Linked DNA regions of Struthio camelus. The protein of the gene in region 2 interacts with the protein of the main gene of each other region in a pairwise test. Links are inferred from orthologs where the notes say so. Each region holds a gene or a part of one and is shown on either strand. Other genes may lie near its edges.

What was found. The genes of interacting proteins can lie anywhere in the genome.
Region 1: the proteins of RBFOX2 (region 2) and RNF8 interact in binary tests that used the Homo sapiens proteins (3 or more experiments, as listed by UniProt). The two-hybrid records come from large-scale screens. The link is inferred for Struthio camelus from reciprocal best matches to the Homo sapiens genes RBFOX2 and RNF8.

The regions. Positions count from the first base shown.
Region 1 is NC_090944.1:104,607,105-104,615,030, reverse strand, and holds the start of RNF8 (E3 ubiquitin-protein ligase RNF8), read right to left. Parts: upstream 3,044-7,926; 5' UTR 2,530-3,043; coding exon 2,440-2,529; intron 1-2,439. Other genes in the region: AARS2 (alanine--tRNA ligase, mitochondrial), read left to right, coding at 3,131-3,355, 3,767-3,955, 4,642-4,787, 5,621-5,815, 6,361-6,505, 6,950-7,095, 7,408-7,516. UniProt on the Homo sapiens protein: E3 ubiquitin-protein ligase that plays a key role in DNA damage signaling via 2 distinct roles: by mediating the 'Lys-63'-linked ubiquitination of histones H2A and H2AX and promoting the recruitment of DNA repair proteins at double-strand breaks (DSBs) sites, and by catalyzing 'Lys-48'-linked ubiquitination to remove target proteins from DNA damage sites.
Region 2 is NC_090942.1:59,494,593-59,502,439, reverse strand, and holds the start of RBFOX2 (RNA binding protein fox-1 homolog 2), read right to left. Parts: upstream 3,016-7,847; 5' UTR 3,001-3,015; coding exon 2,785-3,000; intron 1-2,784. UniProt on the Homo sapiens protein: RNA-binding protein that regulates alternative splicing events by binding to 5'-UGCAUGU-3' elements. Prevents binding of U2AF2 to the 3'-splice site.

The DNA.
Region 1 (7,926 bases), on a different chromosome or scaffold from region 2:
GACTAGCTGCATCTGTTCAACTGTTGTAAACAGTACAGCCTAGAAAACTGCTACCCAAAAGCGTGAATGTAACCATGCCCTAAGCATGCAATACTTCTGTAAATCACACCATCAACATTAGGGCTCAGAAACTAAGCTACATGCCATTCATAACCACTAGTGAAGGTGATCTCAATAATCTGATTAGAATCTCACAGTACCTTCCGGAAGAAGAATGGACAGAATTTGTAATGGTACTACTTCACAATACTTTATCAAAAAATATGATCTAATTGCAGGCTGCCATTTAAAGCATGGCTTTGCTCTCCCTCTCTCCACTGCCTCCTCACGTGATCTGATAGTCGCAGACATTTCTTATTCATTTGTGTGTTGCAGGGAAGTAATTTCTTTTAGAAAGGACAAGTTTTCAGCCAGTTTACCATGTAATTAGACAACTGCATGAATCCAATGCAATAGATACAAGAACGTGCAGCCAGAAAGAGCAGGACAATACACCATTTAGCAGAAGCCCACAGTAAAATCAGACTAGGCATATTATAAAAATACAACCTAGTCTGTATGTCTTAGATGAAAACTGCCCCCTTTTTCCCCCTGCAATTCCAACTCTTTTGCATCACACCTTCCAATTCCTACAAGAAGAGGGCAAGATCCTGCAGCCAAGGAAAATTAATTTACTACATGTTACGTGAAACAGTCCCATCCTTCAAGTTGAAAGCAAGGGCTCAAACTCCCACATCGTAACTAAATGCAAGGAAGCTAACTAAGATCAGGAAAGCAAACTGAACCACAGAATTCCCTACCTCTTAAATGCTTCACATCTCTTAATGTTCTGTCAACATGGGTTGCTTCTGCAAGATGAAGATGATTCTCAAAATGAAGATGATTCTCTACCACCACCTTCCTGTCTGCCCCATACAGCTCCCTCCATATCAGCAAGAACTTCAGGTGGATTCAGTTATACACACAACTTTGCTTTTGTCTGTGCAGAAATGCCTAAGCCACATCAACTATTATTAGTTCTCGGTCATGCACGTCTTGTGGCCTAGAGTGCCAATACAACCAAGACTGCGTAGAGCCAATCATAAAACTTCCCCTCGCTAACGTTCGTTGAGCAAAGAGCAACAGCCGTGGGGTTTCAGACGTTACCGCTTGCCTGCTAGAGTTCATCACTGCCACAACATAACGCACCCCCATACCTATCAGCAATACAGTTTGACACCACCATTTAAAGCCCCAGTGACAGCACTTGGAGCCAACGTGCCAGACTGTAAGCTGGTAAGCCTTAAGCACCAGCCACACATTTACTCCGTTGCTTGTGAGAGGGAGGGTAACAGTATGCCAATAACTAGGGTAAAAACACGTAAACAAGATTCTCCATCCAATTACCAGAGCCCTTATTGCAAGTTTTGCAACTCCACTACTCAGTTCCTTAGCTGAGCACACTTACACCCCTGCTGGCTTCAAATCCATGAGTGAAAGTAACACATCGTACATCTGCCTAAAGATCTGCCTAGCGTTTAAAGATGAATTAGCAAGGGTACCTTGTGCAAGGCATAAGCACAAAGGAATTAACTACAGTGTGAACCCACAACATTTAACTGCCTGCTTTTGACCATAAAAACTGCAATCCTCTTGTAGCACCGTATCTTCAATACGGTAATTTGTCATCTCACTTCAAGAGTAAAAAGATCTGTTTTGGCTTTTTAACTAAAAAAAAATGATAACAGAAGAAAAGCTTATACCTATGCCATTCTGAAACATAACTGAAATGGCTGAAAATACTGGCTGTGTTTACACTTGAATAACTTTAGCCACTAAAACTAAATATGTCACATATTGCTAACCTCGCCAGAGCATCACGGTATTAATTAGGCTAAGGATTTTTTTTTTCTTACGTTACCATTATCACACAAACAACTTCTGCTTAAACATGACATCACGTTAAAAAAGTTAACGTCTGAAGACATAGCACATTAAGTTTAAACCTCTGATCTCAAAAGCAGCACCCCGCTTTCTGCTCCCTTGCAAGTTACTGGCGTTGAAATAAACTGGTTGTAATCGGGGGGAGATCGGTCTTTAAGAAAGCGCAGAAATACCGAGCAACGCTTCACCAAGACTGCTTTAGGGGAAATAATTTATAAACTGGGATTAATGACCGGCTCTTCTGAATAATAATTAACAACTGCCGCTCATTAGCCTAGATAGCTTTTTTTTTTTTTTTTCTGGAAAGCGCATTAGCGAGTAAACAGGCTCTCAAAACAGCACACTCCCACAGTCACCCGCCCGCCCCCCAGCCGGGGCTCAGCGAGAGGCGGGCCGCTCCCCCCGCCTCACCCCGGCTGGCGAGGGCCGTGCCTCGGGCGCCGGGCCGCCCCCGCGGCTTTCACCCGGGGGGGGCCCCGCGGCGGGGCCCAGCGGCGGCCCGGCCCCCCAACTCACCTCGGTGCCGGCCTCCAGCAGGAGCCAGTCGCCGCTCGCCCCCACCCGGCGGAGGCACCAGGCCAAGCCCGAGGCCCCGCGCGCCGCCATGGCGCCCGCCCTCCCGCCGCTGCGACAGGCAGAAGCAATCGCTGCTGAGGCGGCGGCGGCGGCGGCGGCGGCACCGCCTACCCGCTCCCGGCCGCGGCGCTCTCGCGAGGGCAGAGCCGCCGCAGAGCCATAGCGGCGGCGCACCGCCCCGCAGCCCGGCTAATCGAGCCTGGAGCGCGGAGGGGGTTGGGGGGGCTGCGCATGCGCCCGGTGGGGGGCGGCGGCGTACGGGCGGCGTTGCCTGGGGGATTTGCGGGGCGGGAGGAGCGGCGCCATTGTGGTGCGCATCTTCTCGCAGGGCGCCCCACGGGCTTAGGAGCGGGGTGCTGACGGGCAGGCCGGCCGGCCGAGGTCCGCCCGCCCGCCACAGTCGGGGGATTTGGAGGCCCGGGCGGCGGGCTGGCGGCCGTCCCGGCCGCTCCCAGTGCACACACCCTGAACGGAGGCGGGAAGCCACCCCCGCCCCGCCCTGCGCTGCCGGGCCCAGCCGCGGCCCTCCTCGATCCCATCGGCCCCTGCCACGCGCCCTCTCCTGGCTCCTCCCGCTCTTCTCGCTGCCCTTCCCGAAGGCGCCCTCGCCCGCCTTCCGCCCTCGGCCAAGATGGCGGCGGCCGGGCGGCTGCGGCGCCGCCTGCTGCCGGCCGTGCCGTGGCGCTGGGGCTGCGGCCCCCGCCGCTGGGGCACCGGCGGGCCGGCGGCGGGGCAGGTCCGCGCCGCCTTCCTCCGCTTCTTCCAGGAGCGCCACGGCCACCGCCGCCTGCCCTCGGCCCCCGTGCGGCCTCGGGGGGACCCGCGCCTCCTCTTCGTCAACGCGGGCATGAACCAGGTGCTCCCCCCGCCCCGCGGACCGGTTGCGAGGGGCGATGCGCCCCGCCGCCCCCTCCCCCGGCTCTCCGCACTGTCGGGGCTCGGCCCGGGGCCTGCGGCCGACCGGGAGCCGAGGGCTTCGGCTGTGCTCTGCCTGGGGCCCCTGCCTGCAGGCCGCCGTGGGCGGGCTTCCCGGGAACTCCTCTTCCTCAGAGGAAGGCGGTTTATCTGTAGCAGGAAAGCCTTTTTCACAGGAAAGCCTGTGGCCTGATCGGCTCCTGTACCTCCTTGTCACCTCACGACTCTCCCATCTCCATGTGCATATCTTCTGCTTGTAGCTCCCTATCTGTATTTCTGGAGCTACAGTCATAAGCCTGCTATGCTGGACGGTGTCTAGCAACAGGAGATGTCTCTCTGCCTTGATTTCTAGTTTAAGCCCATTTTCCTGGGCACGGTGCATCCCCGGAGCGAGCTAGCACAGTACAAGCGGGTGGTGAACAGCCAGAAGTGCGTGCGCGCTGGAGGGAAGCACAATGACTTGGAGGATGTGGGCCGAGATACTTACCATCACACCTTCTTTGAGATGCTGGGGAACTGGTCCTTTGGAGATTACTTTAAGGTGAGGCAATGAGAGTCAGCCCTCTCCAGGGGGAGATACAGCTTTTCTTTTATAGCATCAGATCTGTCTTGTAGCACCATAAAGGTATTTGCACGAGGCTTTGGCGAGCTCTGAATTCCTTGCTGGAAGCTCTGTGGCTTGCAGCAGAGGTAGTCAGCGTGCTGAATCACTAAATGTGCCCGGCAGAGAACTCATTTCTCTGAAAGTGCCCAGCCTTTGCAAAGCTGCCAACCGCATATACAAACCAAAGCGCCCTGTGTGAGTGCCAGTGTTGACCATGTAATATGGGTGAAAAAAGGTTCCTGTTTCATTTTGTGCTTGTTACTGGAAAGTTCGAAAAGGGAGAAGGATAAAGAATGCTAATTGTTTTTCTAGTATATGCATTTCTTCCTAGGAAAGAAAATAATCCATGTGACTGTGCGGGTAAGCAGGTCAGTGTAGACCATGCTGTGATCCTGAAGGTCTCCCAAGGATTTAGGAAGGCCACAGTTTCCCACAGCTATTTGAAGAACTGTCTATAATTGGCCTGACCCCCATCATACTCACTGACATATGTCTTAAGACTGCAGAGGGACAGAACAACTGAAATTAGCCTCTTTGGTGTTTGACTCCCATTCTAAAGAACCTTCTTGTCTCCCTTCATGCCCTGGATTACTGTACTTCCTCGGTGTTCCCTGCCTGCTCAGGAGGAGGCATGTAGTATGGCCTGGGAGCTCTTGACAGAAGTCTACAAGATTCCCAAAGATCGTCTGTACGTCACCTATTTTGGTGGAGACTCTTCGCTGGGGCTGAGCGCAGACGAGGAGTGTAGGGACATATGGCTCTGCCTGGGGTAAGTTGTGTTGGAGAAGAAGTTCAGAGCAGCAAGTACTGACGTTTCAGTCTCCATAGTCTCTCATTTGCTCTTTAATTCATGGGATTCAGATGTAGGAGCCAAAAACTGGGCTTTGAAATCATTTGGTTTCTGCTTTTTTGGGACTGCTAAAAGTCCCAAAACTCGGAGCACTCTGGGGGACTTCATCTTTAAGCTGTTGTTCAGATGCAGTCAGTCTAGAAGGGCTGTGAACCGAAGGTTGTCTGACCGGGATGAAGTGACGTGGTGATTTCTGTTCCATGTGCGGTAATGCTACTCCCACTATCCTTCTTTTCTTTGTGTGATCCTTTGCTTCCTCTCCGTCACGAGCTGCGGAGATCGCATTGTCCTCAAAAAGCTAGCAATGGCCCCCTCAACCTGAGGATGAAGCCCTGATGTACTTTGGGAGCTTGTTCCAGGCTGTATGCAGACTTTGGGCTGAAGGCTGATAACTCTGTGCCATGTTTGGTGTCCAGCTTTGTTTGTCCTGATCAGATCTTAGCTCAGCTAACCTCCAGGGAGAAAAGACCCAACAGAAGACCCAACAGAGAGCTGGCCATCGATCAGCAGGGGCCAGACTGAGCTTGCTAGCCATGCTGAGTAGTGAGTAGGATCTGTCTGCTTTGGTCCAGCTTACCCCTGCTAAGGAGGTTAATTCCGTGTGAACAGAAGCAAATGAACCTTAATGTGTTCACATTCTGAGTTTGTAGTAGTCAGAAGGGATCCTGCCTCCAACTTTCTCTGTGATCTAGGCTAATCTGTATTTTGTGTGTGTGCCCCAGTCCTGCCATCCCTGTTGTTTGCCTTTCCAGGGTGCCTGCCAGCCATGTGCTTCCTTTCCCATTGAAGGACAACTTCTGGGAGATGGGGGACACAGGTCCCTGTGGTCCCTGCACAGAGATCCACTATGACCACGTGGGTGGTGGCCGAAACGCTGCAGCACTGGTGAACCAGGGCAGCCCTGATGTAGTGGAGATCTGGAACCTGGTCTTTATGCAGTATAGCAGGTACTAGGCATCCAGTCCAGATCTCGGAGCCTTTCCCTCTCCTCTGACATCCAAACCCTAGTCAATTTTTCAGACTTCTCACTGCTTTCCAGGAGGTGGCGGTACAGGATCAAGGGGAAGCAGTGGAAATGTGTTTTCATTGTGGCCCATAGGCCCCCTTTGCCATGCTTCTCCTGTCCTTCCTCAGCCTGTGCTGCCTCTTTTCCCTCACTGCTTCATCCCAGATGTTCCTTTAGGTCTGCAGCAGCACAGAAAATAACTGCTAGGAGGAGGAGAAGGGCTTAGGCCCCTGTTCAGGGCAGGCCTTTTTCCCTACACCATGTTCTGACTATCCAATGGTCAGAGCATGGCTGCCCAGCAGTGCCACCTCCGGCTGCTGTTAGTCCTCTCCCTGAGATTTCTTCTTTTGAGTCACCTGCCCCAGTGCTATTTCCACCTGCTGTCACTCTCCCATCCCCTATGACTCGTCCACTCCTGTTCCTTGGCCCTGGACTGACCCCTGCTTCTCTTTTGCCTTTTTTTTTTTTTTTCTGGCATGCTCACAGAGAGGTGGAGGGGAATTTACTTCCCTTGCCCCAGCACCATGTGGATACAGGAATGGGTTTGGAAAGGCTGGTGACAGTTCTGCAGAACAAGCGCTCCAACTATGACACAGATCTCTTCACTCCCATCCTGGATGCCATTCACAAGGTGATGATGCTCCTGTTCAGAGCCGCAGCTAAGCCAAAGCCCCATGAATGCAGACTGCTTGACTGGTACCATAACACAGCCTTCTCCACACACATTACTATGCAGTATTTTAAGACAGGAGGTATGTGTAGCTAGGCCCACAGCAGCATTCTAGAGAAGCTGGGGAAAATTCCAGATTGGGAATCCACTGGGATAACAGCTCTACTGATCCGTGTTTCTCCAAGGGTCTGTTAAATACCTCAGGGCCAGGGCATTGGTTGACATCTCTTAGGCACACAAGCCTATAATTTTCTCAGAAGGTTTTATGAGTACATCTTGCATCGTAGGCTGCAGAGGCAGTTGACAAGCATGAAGTCAAGTGTGTAGCTGGCTGTCTTACCTTGCAACTTTTTTTTTCTACAGCTATTCACAGCTGCTAATCTGTCTCCTTACTTTCTCTTCTAGGGCTGTGGGGGGCCCAGATACCAAGGTCTGGTCGGGAAGGCTGACGTTGGGGGTGTGAATATGGCCTACCGCGTGGTGGCAGATCATGTGCGTACCTTGTGCGTGTGCATCACTGACGGCATCTACCCAGGCCTGTCTGGAGCAGAGTAAGGACATGCAGAAATGGCACAGGGTGGATGGAGTTTCCGGAAAGGAAAGGGAATATGAGCAGCCCTAGGGGAGAGGTTGTGGAAGGGGTCAAAGACAGGGAGTGGGTGAGCTGTGTAGAAACACGAAGGAGAGGGCCTGGAGGCATTTAAGATCAGCAGGGTCATCCCCAGATAGATGTGAAGAGTGGGGTGCAGCTGGCCTATATGGATAGATCAGGCCAGAGAGGAGTTGCGTGTGGGGTGTGCTGGATGTGGGGGCAGGGCAGGGATGCTCACAGGGCTATCTAGGAAATCGTGCCCTGCTTTCAGACTGGTGCTGCGTCGGATCCTGCGCAGGGCTGTCCGCTTTTGCTCTGAAGTCCTCCATGCCCCACCTGGGCTCCTGGCCTCCCTGGTTCCTACTGTAGTGGAAGTGTTGGTGAGTAAGAGTTGCTGCCTTAGGGAAGAAGAATATCACATAGCTCCTGTTCAGTCCCATGTCCCTTTCCTGTGTGCTGTCAAGAGACAATCTTGTATGGGAAGGAGCTCCAGGAGGGTGGCTGTGGTGCTGTGTGCTGCCACAATAAAACTCTGTTTTCTCCTGATCACTTGTTATTGGGAGGAGGGGACTAGTGTGACCTGTGGCACCCTCAACACAAGTATGCATGTAAGTGTGTGCGCTGTTGTTTCCCAAAGGCAGTGGTTTCCACGCTGTCGTGTTTGCTTAAAGCCACCTGGAATTGGTCCCTGGGATTGCTAAGCGCCTCCTAAGAGAAGCTGCTTCCTTCCCCTTTGTAAATTGATGCGTTTGCCACAGAGATGCTGTGCAGGGGCTAGCAGGGGAGGGTC
Region 2 (7,847 bases):
AGACTTTTTAAATTATTAAAAAACACATCTTCCTAGCTAAGAAATTATTTGTAAGATTGGCATCATATTTAGTATTTTGCACTTACAACTATGAAAAGAGTCTCCAAACAAACACATCACTCTCTTTAAGCCTAAAAAATGTTAGAGTGAAACATCTGGCAAGAAAAAAAAAAATTTATAGCAAAACTTAGAGAAAAGATTTATATCATACTAAGAATACTAAACAACTAGGATATGGAGCTCCTACTCTGAAGAATAGGCATATGGAATAAACTTAATTTTAAAAATGAATTCTACTAAATGCATTTCTCCAACTATTTTTCCCTCAGTACTGCTAGAACCATAACTGTTTGCCGGCTTACAATATGGAAAACCACAAACAATTCAACTCTCTGCTCAGATCCATAATTAATCTTTACTACTAGTAACAGCATTATGCATTGTTGTGCGTACACGGTGATAGTCCCATGGGTAAATGCTCTAACCTCACTATTTTGTACTATTCATTGAACAGATAGCAAAATGCTTTCCTCATTTAAATCTAAAGGGGAGCCTTTTCTGTACTTACAAATTGTACTAGTTTACACAAATATCAAATTTTAAGACGGTTAGTTAAACCAGTTCAAGTCCCTTTGCGGGCAATTTTCAAATGATTTGCCACTGGCTTACATCAATATTTAACCACTAATTGTAGTTGAACTGACACATCTCACATAGCTACCCAGGACCTATGCCTCCGACCAACTCCTAAGACCTAGAAAAATTCCCTTTCACTGGGTTGATACATTCATTCATAATTCTCTAACTATACACAACGCACAAGCATTTCTTCAATATTGAGCATCTTTGCCTTGTAATTATGCACATTGTCTGAGTCATACTTTACACCTATGTGTGGGAGAAGATACTATTTCAAGGAGTAAAAGAGCATAGCGTGCTTCTCACTGGGCCGTATGGGAGCATGAGACACAGCATTCAGGTGTGAAGCTCCAACCTATGTTTAGCTCTCAACATCAGACTGGCTGAAAAAGCAGTTCTGTGCGGTGTAGAGACCACCATGAAAGGCTAAACATCAAACAGAAGTACAAACAAAACCCTCCTGCTGTAAGGCGTTTAAAAAAAAAGAGTCTTGAGTGTGCAATGTGGGGACAGCCTAGAAAATAAAAAGGGAAAATAGTTGGTCAGCAATTAGCATCTAGATCAGAAGAGAAACACATTACAGAGGACAGAATTCTCTCCGGTGAACAGGATAGACCAGCCCAAGCAAAAGTGAGAACAGAAATAACTTTAGTTGAATAAATCACACCATCTTCAAAGAACTCTAACATATCTGTTGCAAGAAACAGAAGCAAAAAAGCACCAACTGAACTGCCATAATTAAATCACACATAACATACAGACAACAGAAAATAGAAATATCTTTAACTCCCTATACCCCCCCCACCCAAATGCAAAAGCAAATGCATCTGGAAAAGTAAAGACCAATCCTTCAGTGATGATCAAAATGTGTAAGGAACAGAAGACAGGAACTTAATCTCTTATCCAAAGTCATCATTCTCTTTCCCAAACTGGAAGACTCTCTCACATGATGTCCTAAGACCCCTTTCTCTGTTCCCAAGAAGCACCTGAAATTATTCCTTATCATTTACAGACAAAGAATCAAAAGAGAATGGATAAAGCATCATTGGTCTTTAACATGCTCCATGTTACGCATGTACCGCGCGTTGAATGTTTTCTTTCGCCACTCCTTTCCACAGCCTCTCAAGGCAGAGCCATCAGTACTTTTGCAGAATCTAGAGCCACGGAGGGAAATGCAATGACAGGAGCACTGAAGGCCTATCTAGCATCAAACAGGACCATCCCCTCAGAAATGAAAACCGTACATTGCAATAACACATGCTCAGCTGAATTCGTAAAACTCACGTAGATCTCTGTCTATGCCAGAGAAGGCATCTGATAAGAGACCTGATCCTCCTCGTTAATTCACGTTATCCCTTGTGTTATTCGACACCTCTACTCCATACGCTAAATATCCCACCGCAACATGCTTTGTACTATACTTCCAACGAGCATCAGCTAGCCAACATGCACGCTTTCTCACTCAACTGGAAAAATTACGGGTAAGGAGGTAGCAAATTAAATCCATAACAAATAACTCATCCCTGGTCTGGGACAACAGAGGCACAGAGGAGTGTCTGGTCACTCAGATTAAGACACTTATGAGATGTGGCAGACAGAAATATGCTAAAGGAGAGCAATTCCTTTAAAGGAGAAGAGCGGCAAGAGATAGCAGCGGTTCTACAGGATTTATTTTGTCTCTTTAGGCGCTATTATAGTTCTCAAGAATCAGGAAGGGGCTTCCCTAGGAAGAAAGCACAGGCGTAGCTTGCGCAGAGCGTTCTTTTTAGGGCAACGGACAAACTGCAAGAAATGATAAAATTAAGATAAAATTAAGATAAAATTAAGATAAAATTAAGATAAAATTAAGATAAAATTAAGATAAAATTAAGATAAAATAATACATATAATTAAGAAACAAGCCAGTCCAAATCCTGCCCATCGTTCCTAGCCGCCAGCAGGGGCGGAGAGCCGGAGCGAGGGGCAGGGATGTCCCCCTCCCCCCCCGCCCGGGGGCGCCCCCCCGCCATTGTATTTCCCAGCGCCGACAAACCCACCGCGTGTGTGTGTGCGTGTCGGTGTGTGTGCGTGTGCGTGTCGCTGTGTCCGCGCCAGGGCCGCCCCGGGCAGCCCGCTTTCCCTCCCGCTACCGGCCCGGCCCGCTACCTGCATGCCGCCACCGTCGGCCTCCCCCTCCGTCCGCAGCCTCTTGCTGTGGCCGCCCTCGGCGCCGTCCCCGCCGGGCATGGGCTGCTCCAGCTCCGGCTCCCGCTTCACGCCGCGGGCGGCCCCGCCGCCGCCGCCGGCCAGGAGCTGCGGCTGCTGCTGCTGCTGCTGTTGCTGCTGCTGCTGCTGCTGCGGGGGCTGGCCGCCCTCCGCCATCCGCGCCGCCGGAGCCCCGGCCGCCCCCCCGCCGCCCCGCCGCGATCGCCCCGCTCTGTCACCACGACGCCCGGCCCCGCCAGCGGCGACGGCGGCGGAGGAGGCGGAGGAGGAGGAGGAGGCGGGCGAGCGCCGGCCCCGCTACCACAGCTCCGGGCGCGGCGGGCTCGGACCCACCGGAGCGGCTCGGTCACGGGCTCGGCGGCGGCCGGGGAGGGGCCGAAGCCCCTCGGCAATCTCCGGAAACGGCGGCCGAGGCGCCGAAGCAGCGCGACCCTCGCTCGGCAACCTTCGGCGACGGGCGGGGGCGGGGCCTCGGGGTGGGGCGGGGCCAGCGCGGGCCGCAGGGCGCCCGGCCGCCGCCGCCGCCGCCGCCGCCGCCGCCGCTATCGCGCCGCACGGGGCGGCGGGGAAATGGCCGCCCGGCGCGGGCCTCCCTCCCCGTCCCCCTCCGCCGCCGCGAAGCCCCCGGTCCTTGCGCGAGCAGCCGGGGCGCCGCGTTGGCCCCAGGCGGTGCCCGCCCTGCGGGGTCGCCGCCTCCGAGGCCCGCCGGCCGCCTGCGAGGCCTGCCCGCGGCCCCTCAGGCCGAGCTGGGGCCTGGCCCGCCGCCTGCCCTCGGTGCCCCGCTCCCCGCCTGCCTTGCGCCTGTCCGCGGGGCGGGCCTTGGCTGCTGCGTCCCTCTGCCCCACTGCGGGGAGGTTTCCGGGCGGTCGCTGACACCCCACAGCGTCCCCCGTTGGCTCCTTCTCTGCCCCTCGCCACCTGCTCCTCTGTAGGACGGGCACGTTTGGGGTTTCAGCAGAGACGAGGCTGTGTAACACCGCGGGGATGGTGCTCTTACACCAATAGATTCTGGTCTGTCTCGTCCCCTGGCCGTGAAGCATATGCTGAGCTGAAAGCAGGTTTTTTTGTCCCGCTGTACAAGTATCTGTGTGGGGAATCATCACAGGGTTTAAGGTGTGCTGCACATAAAAGTGGTTTCATCTTCGCCTGCTCGAAGCCTTTTGTAACGAGGCTGGGCTAGAGATGTTATATTTTGGCTGATAAATCTTGGAGCAGACTGCAGGAGATGCAGGATCCTGTACAGCAGGGCTGCCCGCCTGCTGGAGCAGTTGCGCTGGGGGCAAGGATGCAGATCCCCAGCCCCTCGTGGCAGAGACGTATCCTCAAAGCCCCTACCAAAGGCTCATCCATGTTTCAGGGCTGTTTTTCGGGGAGAGGTTTCCACGGTTACAAGCACAGATTTGCCTGTAGGAGTAGTACTGAGCTAAGGCAAATCTGCAGGTGAGAATTAGTGACCCAATCCCCTGCTTTAGGGGTGTCAGGCTTCTGTAAGGATGCTCTGCCCAACTTGGTACCTGACGGTGCTCCAGCTCAGGGTAGCGTCCTGTCGCTCAGGGCATGCGTCTTTTCTCCTGAATGTTTCCGGGCTTCCTCTGTACGGTTCTGGGAAGCTCACTCTAGGGCACGTCTCACAGTGCTGGTCTCTGATTTCTGCAGAAAGTGGCTGATCTGTTTTTATAATAGCCTCGGTGGGATTCTCCTGCGTTTTTCTACATAACTCCTAACTTGTTTTCCTGCAAATGACTTGCAACCAGATGTAGACATCAGTATTTAAACTTGAAGCCAAAGTTCATCAGCTCTTTTATACTCCTCCGTGTTTTTGATTTTAAGAACCAAATTTTGAATCCTTAGCATGAATGTGAAGTTGATTTTACTGCACAGCTGCTGTCTGGTAGCACCAAGGACAATGTCTGTTCTAGAGAAAGGAGAACACAAGCAGCTTTTGCTATCCTGAAACTAGTTTGGAAGCTTTGGTAACTTGATGGAGAACTAATCTGCAGATCCTAATACAAACATGCAGTTGGTTTTATTATGGCATGGGAATGGGTATTCTTCCTCTGATGGTCAACACTTGAAAAGGAGAAAACCAGGAATGGAGGTGGTCAGCGTATGTCAACACACATGACAAGAAACCCTTCTTGACTTTTCAGATATCACTGTATGTGTTGAAGCCTATGGAACAATTGGATTATCTTGGTGTATCTTTACTCATCTGCTGATCTTCATGAAATGATCGAGCCTTTGATTTTGAATGACAGTTACAATACTTGACTCCAGTCTGCCCATACACCACATTCTTTCTGATCCAAAAATAGTTTTCAAGGCCACGTTAAAAACTATTTTAAGTGGTACGTTTTTGCAACAAGGTGCCAGCTTGTCTCTTCCGGTGACAGGGAAATCTCTTTTTTTCCAAAATGATTACAAATCCCCATGGAGTGGCAGGCACCCGGAGGACAATTACATGTAGTTTTTGTCTGCTCGCCCACCAAGGGTAAACACATGTCTCATTCATCTTGACTGGGTTTGATAAAATGAGCCAGACTGTCAAACAACATTGAATGAACATGTTCACTCCACCCTTGACTTGAAAAGAAGAGAGATTCTCATGATTAGGGTGCTACTCATTCGATGAGAAGCATTTCTGTATTTCTCTTCATCTGCATGCACCTTCCATAACTAGTATTTTACTGGGACATTCTAGATGACTATTACAGATTAAGATCTTGCCTATCAGACACTGCAGAATGCTTCATTTTTAAGGGAGCCAGCCTGAAGAAAAGTTAGCAGTAAACCCTCTGCCATATATGTGTCTGCCTGATATTCCCCTTGAGGAATATCAAAAGAAGGAGTTGTTCAGTGGTGCCCAGGCTCCATTTTTCTCTTTATCTTCCCCTAGTCCCGTTTCCACCAGCTCCTGCCATACACATGTCAAAGTTGCTGCCGGTTTCCCCTCACACCCCATGCTCACATGGCCTGCTCTGCAGAAGAGCGCCCAGGGGAGCCCACAGTGTGTAGGCAGGGCCCCTGGTCAGGCATCTTCAGCTGGCTGTGGTTGGCAGCCTGCAAGCGAAGGAGTCCAGGACAACTGCATAGCACAGAGCACCCTCAGCAATGAAAAAAGCTAAGGCAAGGAAGGTACTGTGCCCTAACCACTGCAGTGACCTGCAGTTATGACTGGTATACTGAGTGCAGTCATCTGCTTTCTGTCATTATTGAAATGATATTTGGTATTATTATTTCTCTAGCTTTTTCCATTTGCACTTAAAAAAGATTAATGATTTAGTCTTCACAATATGCTTGTGGGATAGATACTGTCTCCATTTAACGGAAGGGGTATAAGGCATTCCTGAAGTCACAAAAAAGCTTTTGAGCTGGGACTATGCTGGTAATCCATTGATTTCCTTTCACACAACCCAGCTGCCTTTTAGGTATTTGTATGTGACATCTGAGACATACTAAACAGACATCTGATTCTTCTGTTAACCCTTTCATTGCTGCGCAGCACTCTTGCCTGACTCCTACATGCCATTATTTTATGCACAAGTTTGTGGAGCACTCACCAACGCTTAATCTTTGACAAACCAAAAAGAGGCAGCTATATTAAACATTATCCTTACAGAGGAACGCTCAGAAATTGGTGTGAAGAATATATCTTTCTGAACAAATACACATCATTTTAGACTAAAGTTTTTTTTCTTTTTCTTTTTCCTAGAAAGGCGCCCTCTGAAGGGACTTGAAGGAATATGTTTTGGTGCTCCCATTGGCCTGAAGATCAGGTGGCATCAGGACAACACTGAGTTTGAAAGCTCTGTAGAAGTACAGGGAGTTGAATCTCACTATGGTGCTCTGGTGGAGCAGAGGCAATGACTCACGTAAGCTCTAAGGAACCGGCAGGAAATGAGGCACAAACTCAGCTATTAGTATTTGACCCAATGGCATAGGAATCATTAGGAGACAGTTCAGAGTGAATCTCTTCCCTTCACCGCCACAACAGAGAAGGGTTTCTTGCTGTTTCCATTGTCTGCATACGACGTCTCACCCTGTTGACCTCACCAGCTCCTCTTGCCCGCTCAGCCTCCTGCAGCTTTGCCCCCTCTCCTTCCCAGGGGATTTTATCTCTCTGCTAAACGGGTCAGTGGAGATTTAATAGTTTGCCCAGCCCTGCTCATTTCTGCTGCTTCTATCCTGCCAGCCAAGATCTTGGAGCCAAAGCTCTTCCTCCTGACAGCAATACTCCCACAGGTAGCGAAGAGCAGCTGAGGTAAAGTTTCTGCCTGCACTTTGGTCCAAGTTTCACAGGAAGTGTGATACAGCTTTCCTTAGTGAGAAGCATGGGTAAATATTTCTCCTTGCTTATCTATAGCTGGCTCTTCAGAACTAAGTTTTATTAACAGAAGTTGCCTTTTCTTGTCACAGGTTAGCACACAGCCAAAAATACATAACGTAAGTCAACAAAATTTGAAGTTTTTGTCATCTGACTTAAACTGTCTGTATGAAGGATGCCAGTCCTCAAGCTGTGGCAGGAGGCCAATATTGATATGTTACTCTGACGCAACAGTGCTGGCAGCGGTCAGTCAGCAAGTCGACACCCACAATGCACCTGGTCTTTTGCCAGGGCCACCTCTTGCAGTGAGGACATTGGGCTTCAGCAAACACCATTGAGCACCTCGGCGCTCCAGCGACGTAGCAATGGAGACAGCCAGGAACCACCAAAGAGCTCCTAGCAAAACTTCCCTGTGTAGCCATGCCTTGTTATTTTCCTACCTGCTTCAAGCCTTGCTGAAGTGCTATTTTCATTGCTGCTAATTACCAATAGGCCTGTGCTTCTGTGGGGTATCATCATGTACCAAAGTTGCGTCATTTCAAGTATACCAATCCTGCTAAAGCCGTACGACACCTGCAGTGCAGATGCAGTTATCTGCATATATGCAGTTAGCATAAAGATGCTTTCTGCCTGCACTGCTTATGCCTGTAAGGGCAAGGAATTAAGTAGGTCTTTCAGC